Schizosaccharomyces pombe: one gene and its partners. The protein of the gene in region 1 interacts with the protein of each later gene in a pairwise test. Each region holds a gene or a part of one and is shown in the gene's direction. Other genes may lie near its edges. The genes, in order: rcl1, ntu1, dal81 and tea3.

Region 1 (6,379 bases):
AGTGCCCCACATTGCACGTTGCTTTTTAGTAGCTTGCTTTTCTATATTGGCATCCATTCCTACTTTTAGGATGTCATTAGTTTTCGAGAGATTGAGATAATTTGGAAATCTCATGTTAAGTGTTCCATGAGGTCCAGTAATCTGTAGTTGTTCCCCCTCCAAATCAAACTGGATATTTTTTGGAACAATGATTTCTTTTTTTCCAACGTATGATCTAGCAGCTGAACATGTCGTGAAGTTCATACCAAGACGAGCAATTCGAAAAGTTAAGGGCCTTGTTTTCAAGCAACTATCAATAGAAAACATAATTTTATAAATCAAAATAATTCAGTTTTCAAATATATTAGTAAAGGATGCTAGAAAAATTGACTTCGAAATTCGCTAATATCAAATTCTAATAAAAACACGTATTCTTTCTATTCGATTTTTTTTTTTGTGAGATAGCTTAAAATAAATTGTTCCTATTATTAGGGATTAAGACTGCCAAAAGTGTTTGCGGATTTTTAAAGTCAATGTTTGACGATGTGGATACTTAGTAGGTTCATCATGTAGGGTGGCAGCCATGTGGCACGTCAACCAAACTTGCGAAGAACCAACCTGTGGGATAAAAGCGAGAAAAGAAAAAAACCATGCCAAGCCAGGGAAACAATAAAAATAGTGAAAACATCACCCAAAACCCTATAGAGGGAGAACTCGGAAGCGTTATTGTGGAGCATTTAACCAAGCGCATTCGTAACTTTACGAAAAAGAAGGTAAGATCATTTATTAAATTGGGCGTTAAAACTTACTAAATCTGTAGCAAAAAATTCTAAAGCTTGAAGAAATAGCTGCTAGCGATTCCAATTCTCTCAATGATGATCAACGAAAAGCATTACAAGGTAAAGATGCTGTATTGACGACATTGAATGAGTTGAAGGAGTTGTTAAGCCAAATAGATGCTACAAGGATCCGTGATGAAAAACACAAGCGTCAGTTTGAGGCGACCGAAAATGCTAAAAGGAAAGAAGAGATTGAAGCACAATACCGCGAAGGATATGACACCGCTCAAAAGCAAGTCTCAAGTTTGGTCCGTTTTCTACGATTTGCAAGCCATAATTGTGTTCATCCTTCAGATGATGCGCCTTTCAATTCAGCTGTTGAAAAGTTATTGGTGATTGTGTATGAGGGTACCGAGAAATCTGAAAAAGCTGTTGCTGATTTGAACGACTCGTCAACAGACGTTGTACCTGAAAGTGAAGTGTCCTTTCAGACGATTTCATCTAGAGTTGATAATTTTTTCGCTGCTCCTTTGCCTAGTGAACAGGCTGAGGAACTTATCGAAGATGATTATGCGGAGCAACCAGAGCAAGCAGTTGGTCAACCCATTGAGCAACAGAGTATTAGTGATGACGAAGCCCGTCAAACTAATCGACCACTTAACCGTGGCATTCAGTTTTTAAATGAGAGCGAAATTGAAGGACAGCATGTTGAGGAACCCGCTCTCCCCAGTGAAACATCTGTTCCTGCTAATTCTACTCTTCAGGTTCCTACTGAAAATGTTGAAGTAGATGTTTTGGGCAAAGATGGGACCAATATTTATCCCACGCAAAATCAAGTTGTTGAACAAAAACAAATGCAGCAAAAATTGGATTCAATGTCACCAGAATGGTATCAAGCAGCTGATCCTAGCAATGGAGTCGTAGATGGAACACCCAAATTAAATTCCAATACCAGAGGATCTTCAAAACGCCCTTCTGTCAACCGTTCCCAAGGAAGTGGTCAACGTGGTCGAGGTGGACGAGGATTTTATCGCGGAGGTCGTGGCCGTGGAGGATTTTTTAATCGCTCAAAGCGAGGTCAGTATTCCAACAGTAATAACTCAACCTCGCAACCTAGTCCTAACGCTGAGCTATCCAATTTCAATCCCGTAGCCTAAAACGCTTTTACCGCATATATTAACGTTTCACTTTTTTAATGTTTCAGAGGTTTTTGTATCATTCTTTCCTCTAGTGTTCTCTGGCATTTTAAAAAAGTATTTATATATTACCAAAACTCTCAAAGCATAAAATCAATCATCGTTTTATTGCTTTTTATGTTCTAGAAATAAAATTACTTGATTTTATTAATGTGTTAAATATTATATAAGAAAGTATATTTCTTTCTTTTAGTAGTAAAAACAGTTAATTTTTTAAAAAATACAGTACTTTTTTTATTGTTTACATTTATTTAGTAAACAAGTAGCTTTACGGTTACCACGGCAACTCCTAGCTGAGAGGTCAATTCTACCTCTTGCGCTGTAGAAATTCTTTTACCAAAACTAAAAATTTCCTGTAAAGGAATTGAAATATCAAAGTCTCGAAAAACGCGTTTTTAAAATAATTCGGGGCTTTGCATTCATTTTGAATTGTTAAACTCGTGATGTCAACCGGTCAGCTCAAACGCTTTAAAGGATGTGAGTATTTGACGCATCGGTTAGTCCTTGCAACTCTCTCGGGAACTCCGATTCGAGTTGAAGGAATTTACCCAGATGAAGCCGATCCTGGTGTCAAAGATTACCAGGTTTCGTTTTTAAGGCTGTTGGAGAAGTTGACCAATGGCAGTGTCATAGAAATTTCTTACACAGGTACTTCGTTCATATATCGCCCAGGAAATATTATAGGAGGTCGTGTAGTCCATGATTGTCCAACTACCAAAGGGATAGGCTATTTTTTGGAACCAATTCTAATACTTTGTCTTTTTGCAAAAACCCCTACTTCACTTACTCTTACTGGAGTTACTTCCAGTAATGAAGATATTGGTGTCGATGTTTTGCGCACTAGTGTATTACCCTCTCTTCAAAAGCGTTTTCAAGTTGGTGATGAACTTGAGTTGCGCATATTAAAGCGTGGTTCTGCTCCTGGCGGAGGAGGTGAAGTGAATTTTTTATGTCCTGTAATTAAAGAGTCTTTACCTCCCATTCGTCTCTCAGAATTTGGAAGAGTCTTCCGAATCAGAGGAATTGCTTCTTCAACTAGAGTATCTCCCGCTTTTGCAAATCGCTTAGTAGAATCTGCTCGCGGAGTTTTAAATCCTTTTATACCCGATGTTTTCATTTATACAGACGTTCGCCGTGGAGATGAATGTGGTAACAGTCCTGGGTATTCTATCACTTTAGTTGCAGAAACTAATAAGGGTTGCTCTTATGCTGCCGAGCATTGTGGTGAAGCTGGAGAAACACCAGAAGATGTTGGTTCCTTTTGCGCAAAGAAATTATTGGAAGTTATTGAATCTGGTGGTTGTGTAGATCCATATACACAACCTTCAACTTTAACCGGGATGCTACTATCCTCTGAAGACGTTAACACAATAGTTGTGGGTCAACTTGGTATTACTTCGCAATTAGTTGTTTTTCTTCGGGATGTGAAGGCACTTTTCAATTGCGAATATAGATTTAAAGAGCTCGAATCAGGCCAGGTGGAGATGTCATGCTTAGGAAAAGGATATTTAAATGTCAATCGCCGCATTCAATAGAAAACCATTTATCAGTGGGTCCTTTGCTCGTTTATTCTTCTTAAACATCATAACATTACATTTAACATATTGTTCGGGTACTTAAAATGAACGAACGTCTTTTTGATATATATTTACTCTTTAATCGTACTAAGAAGTTCATTACCCATTAACTTCCCATTGCAATTACGACATGAGTATAAAAAAAAAGCACCATACATATTTAGAGATTTAAATACGTTTTTGTGACTCAGTTGTTTTAACGGTCTTGTTATGTTCATTTTCAATTATGGTTTGAATTTTTTTGGTTTCCTTTAAATTACTTGGTTCTGTTTCTACTTCATTCTGCTTTAATATTTCTTTCCCGATGCCTCTTTTTCAGAAAATTAGTTCTTAGATGCTCTTCTCATTTGAAAATCTCAACCTTTTTCCATGTCCTTTTGTAAAAAAAAAACACTGCCAATTTTTAGTAAATTTGTATCATCATTGATTTTGTATGAATGATCCTGTTCGTTTTATTATTTACTAAATGAGAGTTTTTACTTTACGCTGCTTATACTAAAATTTTATGTAACTTCTAAATTATTAACATTGGTGATACTAAAAGCAACTTTGATAGGAATTGCTTTAATGAAATCATTCCTTCTGCATAAATTAAAGTTTGCTTAGATAAATTTTTATGACTCGAAATATTTAGTAATGTATATGTAAAATAGCATTGTTGTAAACTTTCTGAAACAAGCTATTTAGTGGTGTGCAGTGGACTCACGCTAACTTCTGAGTGGATACAATTTGCAACGCTCGCAACGACCATAAATCTTTTTGGGTGGTAAAACAGAAAAATAACGGGAGTCGTATTTGTCTTCGCATATACTTATAGTATTTAATAAATCATGAGTTCTCCAGGAATAAGTGATGAATCTATAAAAGGACCTAAGGACGTTCGTCTGATTCATCTAATACTTAGCTCTCTGGGTGTTCCATCATACTCTCAAACAGTGCCTTTGCAGTTGTTAACATTTGCACATAGATATACACAGCAGTTAATCCAGGATTCACAGGTTTATGCGGAACATTCACGTGGGCAAAATGCTCCAATTTCTGTAGAAGATGTACGTTTAGCTGTTGCTTCTCAAATCAATCACTCCTTCACTGGACCTCCACCAAAAGAATTTTTACTAGAGCTTGCTATGGAGAGAAATCGAAAACCTTTACCCCAAATTCAGCCGTCTTATGGGTTTCGTCTTCCACCGGAGAAGTACTGTTTAACTCAACCCAACTGGATTGTCAGTAATGAAACCCAACAGAATCAACCAAAGGAAGAGAACTCCTCGGATTCACGAATGGAGGAGGATAAACTTGACTTCTCTGTGAAGTCTGAATAAATTTATTTTCCTTTTAAAGTTGTTACTAATGCCGGGGAAGTGCTGATGATTTAGATATATGTAAATATTTTTGAAGCGCTCACGAATCTTTGCAGCAGATGATTATGGTTTTATTTATATGATTTTGTTCCTCCAGAACTTCCTATTTAACTTGCGAAAGCAGGGCGTGGGTAATAAATCGTTTACAGTTATAAGGTACCTGTTTATTTGTTTATTTGCTACGAAATCAGTGTATGGAGCAAAAAAGTATACAACATTTTTAAATTCAGCTCATATTGTACATTACTGTACACTGTATCTTTTATATATGGTACGACATAGAATAGAAAAAAGTGAAAGAGACGGCAACAACATCAGTGACGGCGCGCTTTTTCTTAAAATGTTACAAAAACTGGAGTAATTCATGTAAGGCTGTGAAATTGGCATGAGCTCGTCGAGAGCTTTCTTCAACTACTAGGCTCATTTAAAATTTACACCGCACCAATGTTTCTTTATTACTTACAATTGCCTCTCATCATAACTTTGAAAATACAATTTACCACAATACTAGTGATAACATAATATCATGCATTTTAATTTTCTTTATATGACCTATACAGATCCCCTAAAAAGAATATAGTAGGGATACTCGCACGACAGCTAAAAATATATAAGTTATATAATAATTTTGAATCAGAAGGAAGGCAACGGAAATATCCACACATTTTTTGCGCTCTCGGACATATATTTCATCCGCGTTATTTTCATCATTTTCAAAATCATTTATCTCTCACATACTTCAACCATTTCAAAGCTCACCACAAACCTGTATAGGAAATATAAAGAAACTTGATGCTTTACGTAAACACAATTCAGAACTTACAAAAACACAAAAGTGAAAACTTGGTATTTAAGTCGAAAGTCATACCATTCGTAAAAAGAGTGAAATTATAATGTGTAATAAACACAAGGTAAAACATTATGTTCATTAAACAAAATCAGGAGTTTGATTGTACAATTAGCAACCATATGAGAATAGCCGAATGAAAAGTTTCAAAACAATAAGTATCCATTAACAGAAGTATGACCCATTAACTAGTTTTGAAACTAAAGAATTTTACGAAGGTCAACAACATAATGCAAAATTAAAGCCAATTTCTCTGAATGGATTTAAATCATCATAATCATAAGCTTTTAATAAATTGTAAAAATTTAAAAAACCACGTCGGCATTTTTTTGATACCTTACATCATACCGGGCATTCCACCCATGCCACCCATTCCGGGAGGACCAGCAGGGGCCTTGGACTCTTCAGGAGCATCGACGATGGCACATTCGGTGGTACCCATTAATGAGGCGACTCCACTAGCATCAACTAAACCGGTACGTACGACCTTTAGGGGATCCAAAACACCAATTTCATTTAAATCAACAAAACGATCCTTAGCAATATCATAACCGATGTTAAATTCCTTGCCATAAAGCTCCTTAAGTTTACCAACAATCAAGTTACCCTCTAATCCAGCATTTTCAAGAATGGTTTGAGC
Region 2 (8,710 bases), on another chromosome or scaffold:
GAAATTTCAGACTTTATAGCATCCTCCTTTATAGTGCTTTCGTCAGTTTGCTTTTGCTCAGCTGCATTGGGTAGTACGAACATCATTTGTAAACCCGCTACTTCGAGTATAGATCTAGTAGATAATTAGTAAGACGAAAAAGAAATAAAAAAAAATAATTGGCATAATTTCCTGCATTTATTTGAACTAGGACGGAAATAATTATTTTCTTGATAATTTGACAAATCCTTAACGCGCATTTATAAAATAACCAAACATTCGTTTAAAATTGACAAATAACACGAGAAAACCATAGAACTTATGAAAGAGTAAAGCATAAATTATGCGCTGCTGAAACCATCAATATTCCGTCCTGTCGCAAATCACGACGAACCAACACTATTCTAGTAAATGATTTTTAACATACCCACTTGTAAGCTTGACTGTTTCCCCATTCTTGAATAACTTGCCATCTACTTTAATGCCATTTCGACCGTAAACTGAGCAATTCCATGTTTGGTCATCCAAATCATATTCCACAACAGCGTGTTTTCGACTCACAACTTTAGAAGGACCAAAATTCATATCAATTACTTCTAAATCTTCATTTTTCCCCTTTGGTGAAGGATTTGCTGGTTCGCGACCAAGTATAATTCGAATTTTCTTAACATAATAAGTCCATGTACTTCCAGCGAATTTCGCATAAGCTTGTATTTCTCCAGAGTGTCTTTCCGCATTTTTACTGTTCGAATAATCATCGACCACTCTCATTTCGTGAGGTGGAACGGACAACTTCGCAATTTGGGATTCCAGGCGACCATTCAATACAATGTTACGATCTGTGTCTACATCCATTTGCTTTTTGTAATCTAACTGTTCTTTTCTCTCCTCGTCATCTGATATATGCTCAGACTTGCTTTCGAGTCTGCGAACAGTCATTTTTCCTTTCTACAGCAATTGTGCTGTTGGTGTGTGTTTATTTACACTCGTTTGTTGTTGTCAACATTCGTTTACCTTCCGTTGCCAGCGCTTCACGGTATAACTAATATTGACCATCATTTTAGATACATAGAAATTAAAATATACATTTTTCTAAATATTTGTACATTTTTTATTTTTGTCAACAATGCGTCTTTGTTATCGTTGCTATTTATATTTTTGTAAACAATCAAGATACCGGATCTTCGATATACTTTTTTAAATACTAAGCAGTTAAAAAAATCCTCTTAATATATTGGCGTAGGATTAACTTATAAAAAAAAAAAACTCAAACAATCATAACTCTGCAAGACTTGTAATAATTTTAGCTTTTCAGCACTCAGTGTTTTTTGCACATGTAATGGCGTCTAACGGTCGCGTGCATATCCTAGTAATTACCCTATTATTTAAAACGTGTCTACTGAAGATTTATTTTGAGAACTGTACAAGCTATTACATGAATACACTAAGAGTATTAATTGTGTTTTATGGAAATTCCGAATCATTATTTCGCTTTCAATCAACCGATTTTGTGTGGCTGCAATATTAACGCTCAACTGTTTACTCACGTTATTTTCCATATTTTTACTAACTACGCGATTCGCGAAGTCTCTGTAGGATACGTAATATTATTTGGTGAGTTCGTAGCGCACTATAATGTGTGGTACACAACAGAAAGTATTATGCAATATACAGTTACCGAACATAACTCAGGCACGGAGAGACTTTGATATTATAATAAATAATATGTGGCTTACATGAACAGACAAACTTGATCTTGAATGATCTTTATTTCCCATACTTTTTTCTTCAGTAATATTGAAAATAGTCAATAAACGGCTTGATGGTTCCAGCTTCAGGACTCATTGGAGAACTCACACGTGAAGATGTCAGGCTTATAACGATATTTAACATACCGCAACAAAAACATTTAGCATGGTATAATCTCATTGCTTCACCTACACATGTATGCTAACGTGAAGTAACGAGTAATTACTATTTAGCGGATGTATACGATCGCTGGCACACACTCTCGTAGGTTTAACCTGTCGCGTATATCATCCATAATCGCTTCGCAGCGATCACCATTTATTTATTTATTTACCTATCTAAAGCACCAAATTCCTTTAGTTTCAAAGCGTTAAATTTTGAATGATAAACTGCATTTTTGCTCACTTGCGTTAACTTTCGGTTGTAAAAACCGGTAACAACGATTCGATAAATACAAATTAAAAGACCTGTTCTCCCTCAAGTTTGAAGTTAGCAGGCTTCAACATAGTTTATTGATAGGCTGCTGAATGTCTTCCGGCGATGTATCTCGTAGACAGCGTGTTTCTAGAGCATGTGATGAATGTCACAGGAGAAAGATCAAATGTGATCAGAGAAGGGTAAGATGTCAATTTCTTTGCTCTATTTATGTTTTGCATAATTTTATTATTTGAGTTGGGAACTGAGAACTCACTTCACCCAGTTACCGCTTTCTCTGAAGTTGATTGTAGCTTGATTGATTTCAGTTCAGCTAGAGAGCATGCGGATAACCTTTGTCGTTAATTTATTATTTTTTTGGCTTTTATTGCTCTTTTTCTATCTTATTTGCATTAATTTGGATGAGCGATTAGAAATAAATATAAATTTCTGTTCTTTACTAACTTTTTCAGCCTTGCTCGAATTGCATAGCATATAACTATGGTAAGTGCCTACAATTTAGATGAGATTATTTTCTTCAAGTTTAGTCGCTTTAAAATTTATTTCAAGCCTCTATTATAATTGGATGGAGTTTTCTAACTTTGTTGAAGAATGTACTTATGGTCAACCTTTTAAGCGATTACGGCATGCTCCTGAGAAGTATATAGAATTTTTGGAGCTTCGATTGAAATATCTGAGGGGACTGGCTGAAGAAAGCGATCCAAATTTAAAGTTGCCATCATTTCTGGCTCCTCCAAATGACAAAGATTCTCCTGTGAACCAATCTCCTTGGAAACGCTCTGATTCCTCTAAAAGAAGCTCGTCACAGGACGAGTTTGAAAGCTTATTCGACCGGTATGGACAATTGAGTTTAAAAGATGATGGGAAAGCCGACTTTCGTGGAAGTTCCTCTGGCTTTGTCTTTATGAAAAATATACATCAAAACATTGCGAGGAATTCTACGGTTCCCAATCCTGTCCAAGAATCTAATTCATCTTCTTCTCAGCCAGATCCTTTATCTTTTCCGTATCTTCCACCCACCCCTGCCGAAGATGAACATAAAAAACCGCCTCTCAAAATTCAGCTACCTCCATATGAGGAGGCTCTTTCTATTGTTAGCCAATTTTTTATGAATGACCATTTTTTGGTACATATTCATCATCCTGCATCTTTCTTTGAGAAGATGCATATGTATTACAAAACTGGCAAGACTGATAACAATTTTCATTTTTTACTTGTCGCTACATTGTGCTTGGGTTACACCTATATGCCCGATGAATCTCCTAGTGCTAACTATCCTTATCATGAAGCTTACGAGTATTACTATTACATTCGGTCTTCATTTTCATGGGAAGATAGTTATACGATTGAAGTTGTGCAAATTTTATTGTCTGTTGCGCTTTTTGCTTTGTTCAGTTCCCGACTTTCTCAAGCTTATACGTTCACGAATAATGCGTTATTGTGTTGCCACGAATTGGGATTGCACAAGGATTTTTCAGACGTTCTCACATCTCATGAATCTCGGTTATCCAAACGGGTATTTTATTCTGTGTACGTTTTGGCTTGTTACACCAGTACAATTGTTGGTCTTCCTCTCAGTATTGAGGACGTTGATATTGATCAATCGTTACCCAATTCTTTTGATTTCACATTAGAAAATGACCAGGTTCCTCCACGATTAATAGCATCAGAATGCACTAGCTTGGAAGTTTTTATACAACACATAACGCTTTCTCGTATTTTAAGTCATTTTGTAAGGAAAGTGTATCCAGTCAAATCGCCCTCTGACTCACACTGTAAAGTTTCATTACCAGCTGTTCGTGATCATGAAGAAAAACTTACATATTGGTGGAAAAACTTACCTTCTTATTTAAAAATGAGCGAAGTTCCAAAATTTTCACCCAAATGGATCCAAGCAATAATACTGGAATTGAAATTCAGGCAAATAGAACTCATTTTCTATCGCCCTTTTATTCACAGTATTAGTACACCAATTGATAATCAGAATGGGTCGCCAATGAAACCTGCAAATTTTGCTTTAAAGTGTGCACAATCTGCGGAGCGTGTTGTTTTTTTGTTACAGGAATTGGCCAAATCTCCAAATACTCCCAAACTGTTTTTCAATTTGTATTCTGGATACTACGCGTTAATGACCTTGACATATTGTGCTACTTTGACGAAGGACGATGCCAATAAATCTAATAATTTCATAACTAAGGCAAGATTAGGATTTCATTGTCTACAAATGATATACCGCGAATCCACTTACTATAGTACAATAATGGAGGCAATCAAGAACTTGCTAATTGCGTATGATATGAACTCATCTGGTACTGAAAATTTGGATGCGACCCCGGATGTTACAGGACAACTACCAAACAACTTTTCGCAGAGAACTAGTAATATACCTAGAGAGTTTCCGCAAGCACAAATATTTTATTCAGATGCTCCTTACCCAGGTTACTATAATCCTGCCCAGTTTCAAAATGCACCAACAAATTTCCCTATGCCTACGTATGGTGGGCGTACACAGGATCAATCTTATCCTAGACAAAACGGATATCCTTCCTATTCTGATGGTAATGTATACCCTCATGATAGGGTTATGATTAATTATGGTTCTTCAATGCCAACAGCGAATGGTTTTTATGTTCCGAACACCTATTCTCCAGTACCTTTCCCGTATAATACTTCATACCCTCCATACATGAGTCCAACTTCGAATATGCCTCAGGCTTTCCAAGCATATTCACAGTATCCTTACCAGCACCCGCCTTTTCCCTTGTCAGAACAAATGCTACCACTGCCTACTTCAGGGGTTATGATGGCACCTGGAGCTGCAAAATCTGGCATGCCGTATCCCTTCATTCAACCACCTTCCATGACTAACCAAGTTGCTTATCCTACTGTCCGAGATGGTTCTAATAATTCTCCTGACCATCCAAGTTCCTCAAACTCTAAAAGAACCGAGTGAGCGATCAATGTTGTTAAGCATAGAAACTCACTTTTGTTTTCAAAATTTTTTTTTCTGCAATAATTCTTGCTTCACTTTTTATCTTTAATAAGGGTTCTAGCTCCAACTTTTAGGGTTTGCTCATGAGAAAAAACATTGACATTTTTAAAAAACTTATTTTTTGTTCCTTTTAATTAAGTGATATTTTGTTTGGTTGATGATTAGCTTTTTATGTTTATTGAATAATAGAACGATTGAATATCTAGATTATCTGTCTTCCTAGATGTTTGTGATAGATTTGCTTTTTGATCTTTTGATCAAGCTTAGAGAGTTAGCCTACTGCTTCATGTCCATTAGCTAGTGATATTTACGCGCATTATTATCAGCAATGAATAACCAAGTAGTGTTAAAAGCTAAAAATTTTGGAGTAAAGTTACGTTGAAGTTCTACATTATAATGGATTACTGCAAAGCAATTGATGAACTAAAAACTTTAATAGTGTGCATTTTCTTTCACGATGGAATGTATAATTACTAAAATGACAATTAGCTGTTTATTTTGTAAGCAACTGCAAACCCAACTGTGGAACGTATTGTTGAGTACCTTTGGCATCTAGGCTAAAAAAATGATCCCTATAAAAATCTTCTAAATAAAAGCTCTGCGAAAAAAATGGTATCGAGATCTGATGCTTACACTGTATTTTAGACGTTGAAGAATTTAAATAATTAAGCCTGCACACTCAATATTTACCACCACACAACGTTGACACCGCCTTTGCATTCATAAAAATGTTTGCAGTAAAATATTAGTAGTCTCATCGATTCAATTGAAGCATAATCCCAGCTTAAAAGTTCGATGGTTATCAGGTTAATACTGAATGAAACCTTTAGTTTGTGCGTATAATTTTTTATGGTGAATTGTATTTTATAGAAATATCCAACTTTCTACTACAGAAGAAATACCGTAATTAGGTAAATTATGGTTGGGAAATCTAAAAATAGGGCCCACAAAAATATTCGAGCTAGATCTTGTCTGAGATGCAGGCGCCGAAAAGTCAAATGTGACCGCCAATATCCTTGTTCTCGATGTAAAGAGAGTGAAGAATCATGTACATATGGAGTAAACGAGCAAGCAGTCCAACTTCTTGAAGAACCTTTAAGCCGACCAATTACTAGAGAAACAGATAGTTCTGCTCATCAAGAGACTCGGACGCGTTTGGAAGAAAACAACCTCCCTAAAACCCAGAAGTTTGGATTCGTAGACTGGAAAACAATTTTGAAATCTTCGGCTGAATTTCAAGGTATTGTTCAGAGAGATCCAGAATCACGTTTAAGAGAAGCTTTAGAAACGGATCCTAAATTGAAAAAACGATTAGAATGTATTTTAGAAACTATCCCTCCTTGGGATGTATGCGAAAGCCTTTTAAAAGTTTATGCTAATACTTTTAATGTAACAAATTATATTTTAGATTTTGAGCAAGCTGATAAATTGTTATCTGATCTGAAAAATTCTAACCATGTTTTCGCGACTTCTATTATTTTAATAGTTACAGCAATTGCGGTAGCACTTTCGTTAGAATCCTTTCCTTCAAATATTGAAAGATACTTTTCGGCTGTTAATCATAGCGCCATTGAACTATCGGATGCATTAAATTCAAAAATTGATGACTTTTTAAATGAGGAGGTAATATTTCGACTATGGAGAAATATTGACAGAATTCGACTGCATGCTATAAGGGCGCAACTTTGCATGCGAAACCAGTTTCGAAGTATGAACACTGATCTATGTTATGCAATTCATTACGCATGTTTTGTTAATCCAATCTTTCAAAATACTGATACCGAGTATGAAGCAAATATGGAGGTTTGGCTTTCGATTTGTGAGATAGATGCTTTGGAATGTGTTTTACGATCTTGCCAGCCTTGGGTTCAGCACGATATTTACGGCAAACTTCTCTCTCAGCGAAAAATGGGTTCAGATGTTATTAGTTATGAGTTTCACTCACTACTCGGGCAATTGTTAACTTGTGGTTTGGAAATATATAAAGCTATTCATACTTCGACTGTAAACGAATTCGTTAACTCTATTCAGTTTTATGAAAGTCAACTATCGCTGGTTTTAATGGAAATAGAGTCGAAGTTTTCTAATATCGATGGATCAGATATTCATTTTCGCTATTTATTTCTCAAAACCGTATTTTGGACAGTACGTAAAAATCTTTATCAAGGTTTTATTACTGTGAGCCGTACTTTAGTACCCAATTATCCAGATATTGTTCAAAAGCTTGGCCAAACATCGATACAGTTGTCACGATTAATTAGCAATTCAATGGATTGTTTCGAAAAATACGGTTGGCTGAAAGCAATGTTAATTTTAGTTACACATACGTTTCTTATAATACATGTTTGTTCCGAAAGGGGTTACGATGTCCCAAAGGATTTTTGGAATGTAACTGCATCAGTACAGGCTACCCTTGAGGAAAAGAAATATCCGGGAATTGTATGGGAAAGGATTCATTACGTTCTGAATATATACACGACAATCAATTCGGTAGAACCAGAGCTCTCAGAAGACCATGGAGATTTGGACGACCAAAACCTTTTTCAGGTTTTTACCGACATATTTGATTTTAATTTTAATTTTCCATTACCAAACTTATAAATTATATAATCTTCTAATAGTGTGGATGTACAGCTATGCTTGTTTTTCTCTAAAGGATCAATGCCTTGCGGCTACGTTTATTTGATTTCGATGATCTGCCATTTTACAAATTATTAATTTGTAGGAAATTACATCAAATATATATATATATATATGCATTACTCCAATTTCTTTCAGTTGTAGAATATACTATTACTATATAAATGTTAATAATATAAATTTTTCAATAAAATCAGATAAGTAACTAATTTTGTATATTGGTATTCTAAAGATCTACAATTGTTTTACTAATTTGTATTGCTGGCTTGCGAACGTATGGTAAGAACACATCCCTGACGGACCGCTGATTTATTAATTAAATAAGCATTAAACGAGCCGAAGCTTATGAAAATCATCATTTTTATGATTTTTCTGTTGTTTGGAGGAGCAAAAAGGCCTACGTTGGAATAAGATCATTAAGGTAACACATATTATGTATATCATGCGACATGGCATTTAAATAAAGATACTCCATAACATCTTCGAAACTCCTAGTTGCTACTGCCATTTCATAGAACTTTTTGAAAATGGCTAAAGGTGCGGTAAAAAAGGAGAAATTCGAATATGAATTTTTTGGGCCCATTGGCGCTTTAGGTGTTACTGTTTTAACGACCGTCGTATCTTTTGGTTCATTTTATATCTGTAATGAGGAAGGATGCCCGGCTAAATTCTCTAAAATCTCTCATATATTTAAAAAAACTCCTCTATTTGACCAAAAGTCTTTAATTTTGTACTTGCTTTGGTTTAGTACTCTCACTTTGTTATGGAAATGCACGAATGGAAAATGGGCAAAGGGTACACCTATAGACGACAAAGGGACAAGATTACTTTATAAAATAAATGGTTTTAACTCAGCTTGCCTAATACTTGGTGTCGTTTGTACCTCAATATACCTGTTGGGAGCTAGCTGCATGG
Region 3 (7,603 bases), 1.4 Mb from region 1:
CTTTACGGATGCGATTAATTGAAACGTCCACGTCTTGCTCTGTAATTATTGGCCCCGATAAAATAATAGAATCATTATCGTAACCAGTTCTCTTTATTCTGTCTACGGCAGCTTTAGTCATATGATCTGGTAAACATTCAAGCTCGCCAAAAGACATTGAATTAGTTTTTAGAGCCACGTCTTTCAAAGATATTCTTTTGTCAATTATAACATTATTTGCATAAATTTTTAAAAGTTCCAAACGTTCATCCATCTCAAGTTCAGAAAATTTTAACTCAAAAAATGATTCTGAAAGAATTTCATACGGTATTTTTTCAATTGAATGGCATGTTCCGATAACAATATATCTACCTTGAGGAGATTTAACCAGATCAATTTTCGACAATAATATTTGAATACTCTTTGAACCAGGTACTATGTTCCCTTCATCCGAAGATATAGAGAGTACATCTAAGTCCTTTACAAAAATGATAGCACAGGGAGACTTAACAACATTTTGCACAAACATGTCAAGCTTAGCTTCTAAATGATCTGCAGTTGCGTCAGCAAATTCGTAAGAAGAAATCTAGAAAACAGTTAGAATGGAATCAAAAAAGAGTTGGGATTAATTGAAACTTACCGTAAAAACAGGTGCACTAAAAAGAGAAGCAACTTCTTCTACTGCCTTTGTTTTTCCCGTAAATGGGTTTCCATGAAGCAGAAAAAAAGGATTAAACCCAGGAACTTGTTGAGGATCAAAAAAAGCTCTGCAGAATCTTAATAGTTTTTGGGAAGGAGGATGTACTTTAACAAAATTTAGAAGAGGTTTCCTAAGGCTGGGAAGAAGTCTGTGGGAAAGTTGAGTGTCAAGCACGATTGAGGTATCCTCATTGGTATAGTAAATGTTATAAGTATTTAAAGGATCTATTTCTTCAACAGAGTACCATATATAAGCGTCGGTATTCCTTGTAAGCTCTAATATATCAACTGAATCTGAATTAGCCATTAACGAATTTATAGGTACACAAAATATTTGTTTGCTTTGTAAGAAAACTTTTTGTTTAACTTGTTGTACAACACAAAGGTTAGCGGCTTTTAGAAGCTTTTCAGAAAAGCAGGATTGAGTTGGAATAGTACGAAGTGAGATTCTTGAAGCGATCCCGACAGATGGCCCACGAGCGACAAGAAATGCCTCTGTACCTTCCTCGGATATAACAGATTCGTTGAATTCATCAAAATAATGAAGAGAAGGCGAAAGCTGTACACTATCATGTTCAGTATCAGATTTTATCGAAGCAATTCCATAGACATTTTTTCCATCTGACAAGCGAAGGCTTATTGGGCAACCATTTTTTTTACCAACATTGAATAATAATTCAAAAGGAACATGAATTAAAGAGCAGTTTTGTAAGCACCATTGTATTTCAGTATGTACTTTTGATGGACGAATGACCAACTCAGCATCTGTTTCGGTTTTTCCTCGTTTAAATGATGAAATATTTTTTTCATTGGATGCTAAAAAAGTAAAACTATCTTTTCTTTCAATAACAAATTTCGTTTCTGAATCCACAACTCCATGTCGAACAGGTTGACAAACTTGTACCAAAATATTTTGGTTAATAAAATCGCTTTCCATTAAAATAGCATTTCTCCCTTTAATCCTTTCAATTATTGCATCCTGATCTTGTGAATTGTCATCTATAACAATCAACTGCACAAAATCCAGTTTGACAGGTGCAATTGTCGATATGTACAAGGCATCAGCCAGTAAGTTATCATAACCAGAAATTTCAACAGTACCATCCTCCAGATCTTCATTATTAATTGGTAAAAATATGCGACCAGCGATTGTAGGATTAGTGGTCATGTAAACATAAGCAGAGTGTTCCTCGAAACCTGGCAACGCTTTCTTGAGCCATAAATATGAAACCCATGCTTGCTTGCTTTCATCTAACTTTGGCAACGGCTTTGCAAGTGTGCAAATGCGATTTTCCATAAAGTAGTTTTCCGTCCTGCAGTATGAATATTTAAAATAAAACGTTGATACAGTTGAAGGCAGGAAATGCGACGATTTTTAAAATCGATCCCAAAAAATATGCACAAACATATAACTATTTATGAAAAAAGAGTATTTATATTTGTATCAATTAGATGCACAAATATTTACAACGAAATTATATTTTGTTGGTTGCAGGAATCTGACAACCTTGATGTCTGAGTACAGAAGATGAAGTTGTGCAAAATGATCGTTATTGAAAGTTAAACTTAACATTGAAGTTTCGTATCAAAAATTTAACATTTATTCAAGTAAAACTAAAAAAAACAAAATCCTGAAAGATATAAGCAAAAGAAAGTATTCCGTGAGATATACTAAGTGTCATTTACTGAGTTAAAATAATTCTCTAACGCCTAAAAGCAAAATATTATGAGTAAATTGAAATTAATCCATTCGTCAAGCCAACACTCTTAAAAGCAAAAAGAATTGTTAAATGGTAATTTTGATAGTTGGTGACTACATCAGAGTTCGTAAACGCAAGGACCCATTTTGGTCAAATAATACTATTTTTTTTTTGAAATAAATTGCGAGAACTTTTCCTTCTATTTGCTTCAAATAAAAAATCAATTGAATACAAGCTATTCTGCATCCGATCATAAAAGTCTAATTTATATCAGCAAATTCATTCGTTGTACTCTGTTTCATTGTATATTTATGTTCTTATTCAATCATAATTGCAAATTATTTAATGCCCATCAATATTTTTACAATAAAGATTTTGAACCCAACGTAAATAGTCTTAAAAAAAGCGATGGTGCTTTAATAATAAGACCATTCATAAACATATGGACGGTTAATCTCGCTAACCTTAATGTACTTAAAGTTAAAGCTAGACGATAAACACCATCCATGCTTCGCTACCGCCCATCTCACTTCAAAATCGCCTTGTTCTTGTAACACATCCCGTTTTGGTGTGCTCCCTAATGAGGTGATACTGTCATCCTTTTACTTGGGTCGTGTAACTACGATTTTATGTATTGATTCGTAAATGGACCAAAGTTCATCTCCTTCGCAGCCAGAGTCTCAGGCTCAACCGAATCTATGTATTCCCTGCAGCTTGGGAACTTGCTTGATCCATTTCCATGAGTTTTCTTCCTCAAGCTTTATGGATCCTGTTTCTTTGTTTTGTTCAAGTCCTTATCCTAACTTGCCACCGCACTCTCGTTCTTCTAGCCTTGAATCGAAAAAGCCTTCGGTTGCCTCGCAAGATGTAAAGTCTGATGGTACTTTGCCTATTGGTACTAATAACAATCCTTTAATTCCTTCACATAGTCAGGAAAGTAGTCACTGGACAATTCGACATGAATCAATGCCTTCCGCATTGGCTGGTAGCTCAGCACAATCCATGCAGCAGTTTCCCTCTATAACTCAGAATGAGGAAAATTTTAGATTTAAAAAGTCTTTCACACAACCACAACCCATTGTTAAAGAAACCACTTTTCCAAAATCCGAACCTGGACAGGAGCATGCAAAGTTATCCGACCTTTCATATGAGGAGTTTTTAAAGAAATACTCATCTACCAAGGTTGAGAGAGTTTCCGAAGCTGCCCCACCTCCCTCAAGTCTAAACAGCTCAACTGTGTTGGATGAGAATGATTCTCTAATTAGTCAAGGTTCATCAGTTGATGACCAAACGGATTTTCTTGGTTTTGACGATTCTTTGTCATATGCTTATATTTTGAACCCAACATCTGATTCTGACGTCGATTTGATAAGGCAGTACTTTATACCTAAAGAGGGAACCTATACATTTAGTAATATGCACATTCGTTATGTTTCTGCAAACCCAAAAACTCCAGTTATGTACATGGTTGATCCAGCTTATGAGCCGCACAAACAAATTGCTCGTTATGAAAAACTTCAGCAAATATTTCAAGTGGTTGAAGCCACAGTATCCCCAGAAGTCGGCGAACGATTGATTGGCCTTTACTTCCGGTACATTCATCGCGTATACCCTGTTATTCATGGCGAAAGATTTCTCCTCGCCTTCAAAAAGGCAAAACACAAACTGTCCCCTATCCTTTTAACTGCGATGTATGCTTCCTCAATTATTTATTGGGATGCGGATAAAGAGTTAAGAAATTATCCTCGCTTGGATGCAAAAAAATTATGGGATCTTACTGAGGATTTCTTGGATCTTTCCTTTTCTCTCTCTCGATTAAGTACGCTACAAGCGGCGATTATTTTTTTAACGGGAAGACCATGGATTAACGTAGCTGGAAACTGGAGCATTTTGACTAGAGCGATTGCTTTAGCGCAAATTCTCGGGTTCCATTTGGATTGCTCTGAATGGCAGATTCCAAAGGAAGAAAAAATCTTGCGTAATCGAGTGTGGTGGGCCCTTTTTGTTAACGAAAAATGGCTTTCGATGTATATTGGGATCAATGCAAGCATTCGTCAAGATGACTACTTAGTACCACCATTAACGGACAACCAGCTATTGGCTGGGGAGCAAAGGATTGCCGACTCATTCAATGTATTTGTTAAAATGGCGGAACTAAGTATTTTGCTTCAAAATGTATTACAACATCTTTTCAACGCTCGAGCGGTTATGACAATGTCGAAAAATCGGCGTACTGTGGCTCAAAAGATATCAAAATATCTGATTAGTCTGGAAGAATTTTCATGTAGCTGTAATTTAAGAGAGAACCAACCTGGATCTTTATCATTGTTTTTACAAATCGATGCCTTGGAGTTGTTATTACGGAAAACAGCATTGAAACTTAAACTGACAGATGCAGTATATCAGCAAGAAATGTTGAACGTGGTGCAACGTTGTGTTTCTCATTTTCTAGCCATTAACGAATCCCATTTTACTGATTTTTTCTGGCCGTATTCCCAATTCTATTTTTGTATCCTATCATCTGCAATCATTAAGATGTATCTGGACTTTGAGTTTAATGAAAATTTTAATGCTACGACTTTTGGCCTTTTGTCATCTTTCACAAAGCATTGTGTCTGGCTGAAGTTTCGAAATTTTGATTTGGTTTTCATGGCTTATAAGCGATTAAACGCGTTGCTGATTGAATTAAGCTCAGGTAGACCACTTATTGGCAAACTTCTACAAGAAACCTTTGAACATCGAAAGCGTAACTTGGACGAAACCCTGACATAATGATAGTGTTTAGACCTTTCTAATTCTTTTTTTTTTGTTTGGTTTTAAGAGTTGTTAATTGAATACTTATGAGCCTATACCTACCTAATTAAGGATATCTACACATTATTATTTTTTTAGTCAGCTCTAGTTGCTTATATTTTATAAAGTAGTTTAGGATCCTTGTTAATTTGATTAAAGGGCTTCATTAAAAACATCTGATAGAAAAGTTTAAGTGAGTTAGGAATATTCACGAAGGATGGAAAGATAATATTGAAGTGATAACATCCTATCGTTTTATAATGAGATATTGATTGCAACAATAAGGTTTATCAGATCTGAACATATATTTATTTATATTTTAAAGTTTACCAGGTGGAAGCAAAAAAGATCTCCTGAGCCAGAATCGAACTAGCGACCAACCGGTATCATCGAAATTACAGCCGGGTGTGATAACCAACTACACCATCAGGAGTTAGTTGAGAAGTGGTGTCTAATAGAATATATATAATATATGAAAAATTAAATATCTTGTATCTTAAATTAGCCGGAGTAGATTCAAATAATGATGATAATTAGATCCGTACAAGTTTATTAAAAAGATGAATGAAAGTAATAGTAGGCTTGAATTCCATTTTTTAAGAACAAATATGAAAACTCTTGATGTGGATACTAGAAGTCTAAGCAATACAGGTATATAACAATAATCCATATTCTTAAAATGATCATCAGAAAACGCTTATTCTTACATATTTTTACTTCATTACAATTATTTACCAGTTTTTTTCATCTTTTCATACTCTATAGTTTCTTATCAAATATTCCGTATAAATTATTAGAGTTGACTTGTACCAAGATCATCTGTTCAATTGCTTTGTGCATATATTTTACTTATGTTGTTTATTTTTCTTTCAGAGGAAGAAGCCTTTTGGCTGTGTCGAATGCGTAGATATGTTATACAAACGGTTATAATCCGGGATATGAGAACTAAATGTTTGGTCACTATAGGACAGTTTTTCGTTATAAAAGAAATAAATTTAAGTGCTTAAAGTACTAATTTTATTAATTCATTGCTTTATTTAGGTCATATTGCAATCATTGATAAACTCAAAGCAAAGGTTAACATAGGTTCTCAAAATTTTGAAAACCCACTGTTAAATTCATCAATTGCAATACCATTTGGAGAAGTAATGATTAAACAGTTTCTTAGTATATGCTTTGTTTATTCGTAACTGACGAACATTTCCGTCCCCCACGCCCCCCACTTATATATAGAGATCCATTCAGCGGACCGAAGAACTAACATACTTACCAAATACATAATACACTATAGTCACGAGAATGTCAACTGAAGGAGCTAAGCCATGTAAGAGCGCTGCTTGATTTATTGGCTGTATCAAGTTGCTAACGATTTTTTAGCGGAAATGTTAATTGCGGCTTGCCGCTCGAATAATGTTGACATGCTTGAGGAAGTTGTTCACCAACAGGAAGGAGACGGAGTGAGCTTCATCAATAATGCTCGTGATTCACTTGGAAACGATTGTGTTCATGTCTGTACAAAATATGGTTCCCTAGAGTGCCTTGACTGGCTTTTAGATATATCTGGCGTAAATTTGAATAACCGCTGTCGTATGACAGGGGACACACCTTTACACTTTGCCGTTATGTTTATAAAAAAAGATCAGGAAACTGCTTTACGTATGGGTAAGTGAATTTACAAGCCGAAGTGCTAATCATTGCTTTCGTGTTCTTTGTTATTTTCGGAAGTTATGGTCAAAGTCGAGTTGTGTATTTCTACGTTGTTTTACGAATGATTCAACGTATGCAAGATCGCTTATATTATGTAAAATTCAAACAATTCTTTGATATTACTTTCTCATAATTTTGTACTTTGCTTCCGCTTATTTCACAAACATCGATTTTGCTTCGGGATAGTTTATAGTGTTTGCTTTGTTGAGTGTATTTGTCTAACTATTGTTTCATTATAGTGGAGATGCTTATGGAGGTTGGTGCCGATCCGCTTCTTACCAACAACGATGGTTTTCGACCAATTGACCTTGTTCCAGGAGACTTTCACGATGTCTTTGCTTCTGCATTAGAAGGACCTGCGCCTGCTCTTCAATATTCTGCAGATGTCGTTGCTGACGATGACGATGAAGAAGAAGGATCCGGTGAGTCGGATGAAGAATAGTTCCCCTTTAGATATTCTTGATTCGGCTTCCCTGTTGTTCTTCTTCTGTTTGGATTTTGAGAAATACACGTTTTGTAAGAGATGTGGGTTATATTAACGATAAAATATTTGTCATTCTTGGGGATTATTCGATTTCTTTCTCCTTAATTGCGAAAGTTGTAAGTTATGATTTTGGCTGCTTCTCAGTGTATTGAAATTCCATTGGACGCTTTAGCTTTCCTTTCAGCTGCAATCCAGTATTATGTTTGTTGTTTGTTCATTCTTTCATAGACGCTCCAGAGAA
Region 4 (8,418 bases), 2.9 Mb from region 1:
TTTTATTCCTTCGACAATTACGATTTCTGGCATGTCATTTCCAAGCTATTAAGTTGCTGGATAGAAATCTAGGAAATTTAATGAAAAATAAATGTTAACTTTGTGCATAGGAATGTATTATTTTATGTAATTTGCTAAGTAATTAGATGAATGGTGCTATACTTGATACGTTACTTATTATATTTATATGAATTAAAAATAATAATTATTAGATGTTCATAACAATGACCAATGTCAATAGTGTTGTCAATAACAATGCCGGAAACAAATTTTAATATTCTGCTGCACTGAAGTATTTATTGCATAAAGGGACTTTATCATATTTGAACAATTGCTGTATTAAGTATTGAACTAAAACCTCAATTGTCTTTCTATGAAATTTTCATGAAAACTTGCTTCATCATTTGTTCGCCTTTTTTTAATTCAGCCAAAATGTTACGAAGATTAACGAAAAAAAGTCAGAGAATGTGCTGCTTTTCCGCTGCTTGTTACAATGCCATTGCTTTGTCAGATCAAAACCTTCGTATCTTGCTTACATAAACTTACCCACAGCACAACACTTTGAATTCCAATTGCCGAGCCAATATCCGGAATTTTATTTAAATATCGGAATTATTTTGTTTTAAATAGTTCATAAACAGTAATTTGTTTGTATTGTCATTATCGCGGGGTTGACTCCTTCATTGACCATTTTGTGTTGAATTCAGCGTTTGCACCGTTACTATGAGCCAAGTGAAAGTCGCGGTGAGAAGTGAGGAAGCAGCTAATTCTTATACGCAAACGTTTGGCATGTCCTGGAGGCAATGGCGTCAAGCATGCTCTGAAGAATATGCGAAACAATGTGAGCGTGAAGTCCTGCACACTGTCGATTTTATTCGGGAAAATGAAAAGGACCCAGAAAGGTTAGTTGAAGTTGTAGATTCCAAAATCTACGATAATGATGGATTGGTACATGAGGTTTGTGTTAGTGATAAAGCAACAGGAAAAGCGAACAAGCGAAGCATTGTTTACATGCATGGGTATGGAGCTGGTCTTGGTTTTTACTTTCGGAACATGGATGGTTTGACTAAGGGTGTGACAAAGGATTTTAATTCTTATTTTGTTGATTGGCTAGGCATGGGAAACTCGTCAAGACCGCCTTTCGATATCAAGGGGCAAACCGCTTCAGAGAAGGTCGAAGAAACAGAGAGGTTTTTCACTGAGTCATTAGAAACATGGAGAATCGGTCATGGTATCGAGAAAATGATCCTTGTGGGCCATAGTATGGGAGGTTATTTGTCTGCTGTCTACGCCATGCAATATCCGGAACGTGTTGAGAAACTCTTACTAGTTAGTCCAGTTGCCATTCCTGAAAACCCTTTTGCAAGCAACGATGATGCGGAAGTTTACAATTCCGTTGCTTCCTCTGCTGTGCATGCTGTTATGGATGAACCTCCTTTAAGTAATGTTACTAATGAGGTTCTGCAAACCCAAGAGGAAACTACAGGTTTAGAGCCTTCCCGGCCAAGCAAGCCAAAGAATCCTCTTCCAAGATTTATCACCTTCTTATGGGAGCAAAATGTTACACCATTTTCTCTACTTCGTTTAAGCGGGCCTTTAGGTCCTAAACTAATGAGTTTTTGGTCTAGCAGAAGGTTTTCAACGCTTCCCCCGGAAACGTTTAGGGCATTACATAATTACTGCTACTCAATATTTCGTCTCAAGGGTTCCAGCGAGTATGCACTTGGCAATTTGCTCGCTCCCGGAGCTTTCGCTAGACGATGTATTATGAATCGCTTGCGCATGTTGAAGTGTCGAACTATATTCATGTATGGAGATAAAGATTGGATGGATGATGTTGCTGGTTTAGAAGCGACAAACAGATTGAAGGAGATGAATATTGAGGCGGAGCACCACATAATTTCAAATGCTGGTCACCATTGCTATCTTGATAACCCTGAAGATTTTAATGAGATTGTACTAAAGGAGATACGAATGAGTTTACGTTCTTTTTCTTCGATTTCAGAGTAAATTTTTATTTTTTATGCCCTTCGCTTAGTGCTTCATTATTTTTATTTATTCTTTCTTGTCCTGCAAACTATCCCATGTGATGCTGTTATAGACCTCATTCATTAATTTATACTACACATTATTCTTTGGATTCCAATTGAACGACTTTTTTTTACCTAACTTTTTATCGGTCCATTTTGAATCGATTTTTATTGCATTGACGCTCATTTGCTTCATTTATCGCAATTTTATTTTTTTGTCCGATTACTTGTCCAGCATGTGTTTTCAAATGTTTTATTTTTAAAATGTGCCTTATAAATCAAATTTTGTAATATTTGTAGGCCATTTACTACAATTAGCTTATAAAGTAAATAACAGTTTTTGTGGTTGTCTATTTTAAATTCTATCCTATAGAGTAATTGGAAAAATACATTTTTCTTGCTCTAAGCTTTTCAAACGTGAAGCATATTTCGTACTTCTAAATTTCAATTCAAACAGAGCATTCAACGGTAATGTATACTATTGCGCTTAAACTTGTATCTACTCTCCCTTCTTTATGTTTAATGAAGATATAAATTATAAACATCATACAGTATTACAAAAATTTATTGTAGGGTATTGCAATTGTATTCGTTGTTCTAAGACTTCTCTACTCTAAGTTGCCGTTTCCTGATGGACTGTGTGTTTCCATTACCCTCCACAAGTTATGCTCTTTTCATATTATTTCGAAAATTTTACTTTTTAATTCTTTTTTAAAACTAAAATATATATTTTTTCTATTTTATTTCTTTTTTAAGCGTAAAAACCGAACCTTTTAAAAAACTCCTTGGATTAAACTTTCGCTTTGATTACCATCTGCAACTGCAAAACCAGTAAGCGATTTTGCAAGGTAAAGATCGCAATACATGGTTCAAAAGGTTTTAAGCCGTCAATCGGATAACTCTCAGGATGTGTCTGCTGAACAGCTTGATGTAGTGGAATCCGGTAGCATTGATCAGCAAAATATACGTGCATGGGTTGTTCGCAAAGTCAAAGAAAATGATAAAAGGACATCTACGAACCAAAGTTTTAAATGGGAAGCTGTAAAACCGGCTTCTTGTCTAGATGCTGCGAATGAAAAATTCATGTACTTACATGGAGGACGAGAAAAATCTGGTATTTCAAACTCTTTGTTTAAGTTGGACCTGGATTCATGCACGGTTTATTCTCACAATAGAGGGGAAGACAATGATTCTCCTGCTCGAGTTGGTCATTCTATCGTTTGTTCTGCTGACACTATTTATCTTTTCGGAGGATGCGACTCAGAAACAGATTCCACATTTGAAGTTGGCGATAATTCATTGTACGCATACAATTTCAAGAGTAATCAATGGAATTTGGTTTCAACACAGTCCCCCTTACCATCGCCTCGCACTGGACATTCTATGTTGTTAGTTGACTCTAAATTATGGATATTTGGGGGTGAATGTCAAGGAAAATATTTGAATGATATACATTTGTTTGATACCAAAGGGGTTGATCGGAGGACGCAATCAGAACTCAAGCAAAAGGCAAATGCAAATAATGTTGAAAAGGCTAATATGGAATTTGATGAGACTGATTGGTCATGGGAAACACCGTTTTTGCATAGCTCATCCCCTCCACCTCGTTCAAATCACTCAGTTACTCTTGTCCAAGGAAAAATATTTGTACATGGAGGGCATAATGATACTGGTCCATTAAGTGATCTTTGGCTTTTTGATTTAGAAACACTTTCATGGACCGAGGTTCGTTCTATAGGAAGATTTCCAGGTCCGCGGGAAGGTCATCAAGCTACTACAATAGATGACACGGTTTACATTTATGGTGGTCGTGATAATAAAGGGTTGATACTCAACGAGCTTTGGGCTTTTAATTATAGTCAACAGCGGTGGTCCTTAGTCTCAAATCCGATCCCTATTTTGCTTTCTGATTCATCTTCATACAAAATTGTTTCAAAAAACAATCATATTTTACTATTATATCTTAATGCACTTGACGCTCCTAAGCAACTGTTATGTTATGAAGCAGATCCCAAAAATTTGTATTGGGATAAGGATAAATTTTCTGATATTCCTGTTCTTCAGCATATTAGCATGAAACCTTCAAATGCTTCAAACCACACGGTTTCTCTTGGTTACCTAAACGACCGTCCTAATCATTCCAAAAAGAATTCTGTGACATCCACCTCGTCTAGTCAATTTAACAATTTTTTGGAGCAAAATCAAAAAGCCGTAAGATCAGCTAGGCATCGGCACTATGCTAGCTTGGATGAACAAGGATTACATTCTTTGAGAAACCTTAGTAAAACCTCTGGAATGAATCATTCAGCAGATTTCTCTCTTCACGAGTTTGGGCAAGCTGACCCCTTTGCTTACGAAATTGAGAAACCTATTGCGTCTCTTCCTTTACCTAATGGAAACGATACTATTTCTAGGTCTTCCGAATCTTCATCTCCAATCAACGAAAGTGAAAGTAATTCTCTGCTTAAACTCCAATCAGATTTTAAGTTTTCTAATTCTGATGATCGTGTAGCTTGGCTTGAGGAGCAACTGTTATATTGTATGCAACAAGGCTATACTCTCAAACCTCCTAACCTGTTTCAACACGTTGATGAAAAATTGAGGCTTGAGAAAAAAGAGCAGCTCAGTTATTTGGAAATACTGAAGGTGATTGAGCAAATGCTTGAATCTAATGAACAAAAGTTTAAAAAGCAAATCGTTAGCCTAGCATCTGAAAACGCAAAATTGGCTGCTCAGAGAGATGCTGCCGTGGAAAATGCAAATTATTCACGTTCACTGATCCAGAAAAAGACAACGGACGAAACTGTTGGATCTTTAATAGAAAAAGTTGGAAAGTTAGAGTACGAAGTTCAAGGGACTCTTGAAGAGGCAACCTCTTATTATCAAAAAAATACTGAACTTCAACAGTTATTGAAGCAAAATGAATCCGCTTCTGAACTCTTAAAATCTCGAAATGAGAAACTTTGTGTAGATTATGATAAACTTCGTAGTGTGTTTGAAGAAGATTCATCAAAAATACTATCTTTACAAAAAGAAAATGAAAACCTACAATCACAGATATTGCAAATTTCAGAAGAGTTAGTCGATTATCGTTCTCGTTGCGAGGCTTTGGAGTATGGAAATTATGAGCTGGAAACGAAGCTAATTGAGATGCATGATCGAGTGGAGATGCAGACAAATGTGATTGAAGCATCCGCTAGTGCTCTTGATGTGTCCAATACTGCCATATTGTCTTTTGAAGATTCGCTCCGTAGAGAAAGGGATGAGAAAAGTACGTTGCAACAGAAGTGCTTAAATTTACAGTACGAATATGAGAATGTTCGGATTGAGTTGGAAAATTTGCAATCTCGTGCGCTAGAGTTGGAGTCAGCCTTAGAACAATCAGTGTCTGATGCTAAATACTCGAAAGCTATAATGCAAAGCGGATTATCAAAGTTATTATCTTCTATTAACGAAAATAAAGATAATCTTAAAGAGTTTTCGAAGTCGAAACAAAAGATCTCCTACTTGGAGTCTCAGCTAGAAGGGCTTCACGAGTTGTTACGTGAGTCCCAGAGACTTTGTGAGGGTCGCACTAAAGAGCTACTAAATTCTCAGCAAAAGCTCTATGATCTAAAGCATTCATATTCCTCTGTAATGACAGAGAAAAGTAAACTTTCTGATCAGGTCAATGATCTTACCGAGCAAGCAAAAATTACTCAGCGTAAGCTCTCTGAGGTACAAATTGCATTGGCTGATTCAAAAATGAATCAACAGTTATCAGGAAAGGACTCTACTGACGTTCATCTTCCTACGGACTTTTCAGCTTCCTCCTCTCCCTTAAGATCATACTTTAACGAAGAGGATTCATTCAATAATGCTAGTGCTGCACATAGTTCAAAAGAATCTGACATACCTTCTGGTGGTGTGTTTACAAAATATCGTAATCATTTTGGTAATTTGATGACATCTGAAGAAACAAAAGCCCCGGATAACAATGATTTACATAAAAGACTTTCTGATGTTATCAACAGTCAGCAAAAATTTTTGTCTTTGTCCCCTCAGGTATCTAAAGATTATTATGATGTTCGCTCAAAACTAAATGATACCGCGGGCTCATTTTCAGGTGAAGAAATGCGTGCAATTGATGATAATTACTATGCCAGTCGTATTAAGCAACTGGAGGATGATTATCAAAAAGCCATAACATATGCCAATTGCTCAGATGAGTCATTTCAGCAGCTTAGTCATTCATTTATGTAACTCTATTCATCAACTAAGGATTTTTTATCTCTTTTTTGGTTTGTACAATTTTCTTAATAATTTTTTGAAGTGGTTTGATTTTTTCTACTTAATCTCAAGTCGTTTGACTACGTATGTAAATTACCACTATATTTAACAATAAAATACGCAATTATTTCTACTGCATTTACATTGACTCATTTATATTTTAAAAAGTAATGAAATTTAATTAACTTTTAAAAAGTAAGAGAAAATTTAAAGTATTAGATTGATGAGGATACTCTCAAGTGCAAATTACTAAACTGGTATTAAATGCTAATTCCTTAACCACGCGAACAAAGCATATGATGAATTACGTAGAAATAATTAAAACAAACAAAGACCTGCAAAAAACCATTAAAGATTCATCCATTTTTTTCAAGGGTCAAATTTGAAGTTTGCTCTGCAGTATGCGAAGACTGCTCAGAGACATTAGTAGGGCCTAGCAGTTCCGTCCAACTCAAAAACGTAGGAGCCGTCCATTGTTTATCAACTTCCAAATTGAGAACTGGATCCGGTAGAAAAGTTTCAGGTGTGAGCAAACTGGGTTGGTTACTAACATAACTTTTGTTTAGACCCGGAACATTATAGAGAGATGATGTTTGGTCAAAAGGTTGGAATGCTTCGTTTGGAGTACTATTACTACCATTTGAGCTTTCTCCTGTAAGCTTAAAGGTAGAAAGCATGTCTCCATGTGACATATCTCCCACCCAGGATTGCCAATTTTGAAAACTATTTTGGAAATCTGCAATCGGATTATTAATGTCTGGGGCATTGCGCCTAGATAACTGTTTGTTAAATGACTTAAGGTAGTTTAGACTTTCTCTAGCAAATTCACACCTTGAACTCAGAAATTCCAATACCTGCCATAATTTTGTGACTACAGCTTGAATATCCTGAGAGTTTTCGTAATGAAGAGACAAGAGTAAAATAGGTGCGCTTGCAAATGGAACATGCAGCCCGAAAAACGATAAGCTGGACAAACACTTATGTGTTAATAAAAGATGTGCTATGTTTATGACCCTTGTTGCGCTTTCAACACATAGCTGGATGTAGCGACGATTTTCAGCAGTTAAATCTTTATCTTTTAATTTCTTTACCATAATAACTCTCGTAGTAAGCATAATCGCATTATCATATATCATTTGAACATGTGCATTTGACCGGAAGAGTGGATGCTGAACAGCCGATTCATCAAAAACCACAGAAGAATGTAAATCACTTTTCCAAAGCTCTAGACGAGCATAAATCCTACGGACAGAATTAACTTGCGATTCAAAGCTTGGAGAAGGGTTCCAGTACAGCGAATCGCAAATCTCATTTGTTAACTTAGCCAAGTTAATAACGGCACGCATGTTTTCGACGATAGACTGAGAACCCGGTATTTCTAAATCGGGCAATATAACAGGGTAAGGTATAGAAATGCATTCCAAAGGTATGCTAGGGCGTCTTCCAGTAGTCATGCTTACAAAACGGTCAATACAGAAAACTGACCACAACAATCGGTTTCTCAATTCCTTGGAATTTTGGGTAAGAGAAGGATCATCAGAGTTTTTGTGAAGTCCTAGGGCAACCGCAAATTTGATCGCCAAACCAAAATATGCAAAACTAGATTTTTCATAAATGGTAGATTGAAGATACAGACCAATAAGTAGGGAAGATTGAACTGCACTAACGTCTGATTGTAAAAGGACGAGTGGAAAAATGCTCAGCGCAGCTGAAAATAATCTGTTACCAATGTTGGAGGCATGAAAATTCGACTTGCTGACATCTTCCTGTTGTTCTGCCGTATACTGATTGCCAAAAGCAAGAACCATAAGTAGAATGCACAAAAATCCAGCATCAATTTGGTTTTCCATCGCTAAAAAAATCTCTAATCTACATTTGAAAAAATGGGGATGATAAACAAACAAATTGGTTTGGACGTTGATAAAAAAAGAATTGATTAAAAATTCAACCACAGCTTTGGAAGGGATCAAGCTTCTTGCATGTAAAAGTAATTGTTCATCAAATTCGGAATATGAGACGGAAGGTGATAAACGCTTGGAATACAAATCGTCTTCAGAAATTGATTCAAGCTCCAATTCGTTTTGCAAACGTTCAATAAACGCCTCAGAGGTTGTTGGTC

The links.
Region 2: the proteins of rcl1 (region 1) and ntu1 interact in a two-hybrid assay, tested with the Schizosaccharomyces pombe proteins (one large-scale study listed by BioGRID).
Region 3: the proteins of rcl1 (region 1) and dal81 interact in a two-hybrid assay, tested with the Schizosaccharomyces pombe proteins (one large-scale study listed by BioGRID).
Region 4: the proteins of rcl1 (region 1) and tea3 interact in a two-hybrid assay, tested with the Schizosaccharomyces pombe proteins (one large-scale study listed by BioGRID).

The regions. Positions count from the first base shown.
Region 1 is NC_003424.3:334,031-340,409, forward strand, and holds rcl1 (rRNA processing protein), read left to right. Parts: upstream 1-2,291; 5' UTR 2,292-2,397; coding exon 2,398-3,489; 3' UTR 3,490-4,127; downstream 4,128-6,379. Other genes in the region: mrpl6 (mitochondrial 54S ribosomal protein uL6m), read right to left, coding at 1-306; cpn1 (caprin), read left to right, coding at 630-752, 800-1,915; SAGA complex/transcription factor TFIID complex subunit Taf9, read left to right, coding at 4,362-4,853; protein Mcp60, read right to left, coding at 6,077-6,379. UniProt on the Schizosaccharomyces pombe protein: Does not have cyclase activity. Plays a role in 40S-ribosomal-subunit biogenesis in the early pre-rRNA processing steps at sites A0, A1 and A2 that are required for proper maturation of the 18S RNA. Rcl1 activates bms1 by promoting GDP/GTP exchange.
Region 2 is NC_003423.3:4,241,745-4,250,454, forward strand, and holds ntu1 (regulatory protein ntu1), read left to right. Parts: upstream 1-2,000; 5' UTR 2,001-2,255; coding exon 2,256-2,345; exon of another isoform or gene 2,346-2,413; intron 2,414-2,615; coding exon 2,616-2,646; intron 2,647-2,753; coding exon 2,754-5,116; 3' UTR 5,117-5,682; downstream 5,683-8,710. Other genes in the region: DNA-binding forkhead transcription factor Fkh2, read right to left, coding at 1-114, 407-918; SPOM_SPBC16G5.17 (transcription factor), read left to right, coding at 6,074-7,756; C-14 sterol reductase Erg24, read left to right, coding at 8,323-8,710.
Region 3 is NC_003424.3:1,744,465-1,752,067, reverse strand, and holds dal81 (transcription factor), read left to right. Parts: upstream 1-2,902; 5' UTR 2,903-3,023; coding exon 3,024-5,150; 3' UTR 5,151-5,600; downstream 5,601-7,603. Other genes in the region: pex6 (peroxin-6), read right to left, coding at 1-565, 620-1,975; ank1 (ankyrin repeat-containing protein), read left to right, coding at 6,471-6,495, 6,549-6,833, 7,118-7,320.
Region 4 is NC_003424.3:3,212,544-3,220,961, reverse strand, and holds tea3 (cell end marker Tea3), read left to right. Parts: upstream 1-2,688; 5' UTR 2,689-2,894; coding exon 2,895-6,272; 3' UTR 6,273-6,449; downstream 6,450-8,418. Other genes in the region: cardiolipin-specific phospholipase Cld1, read left to right, coding at 724-2,010; DNA-binding transcription factor Thi1, read right to left, coding at 6,656-8,418. UniProt on the Schizosaccharomyces pombe protein: Acts as a cell end marker required for efficient new end take-off (NETO), whereby growth is activated at the cell end to generate bipolarity in extending cells. Also required for proper placement of the septum.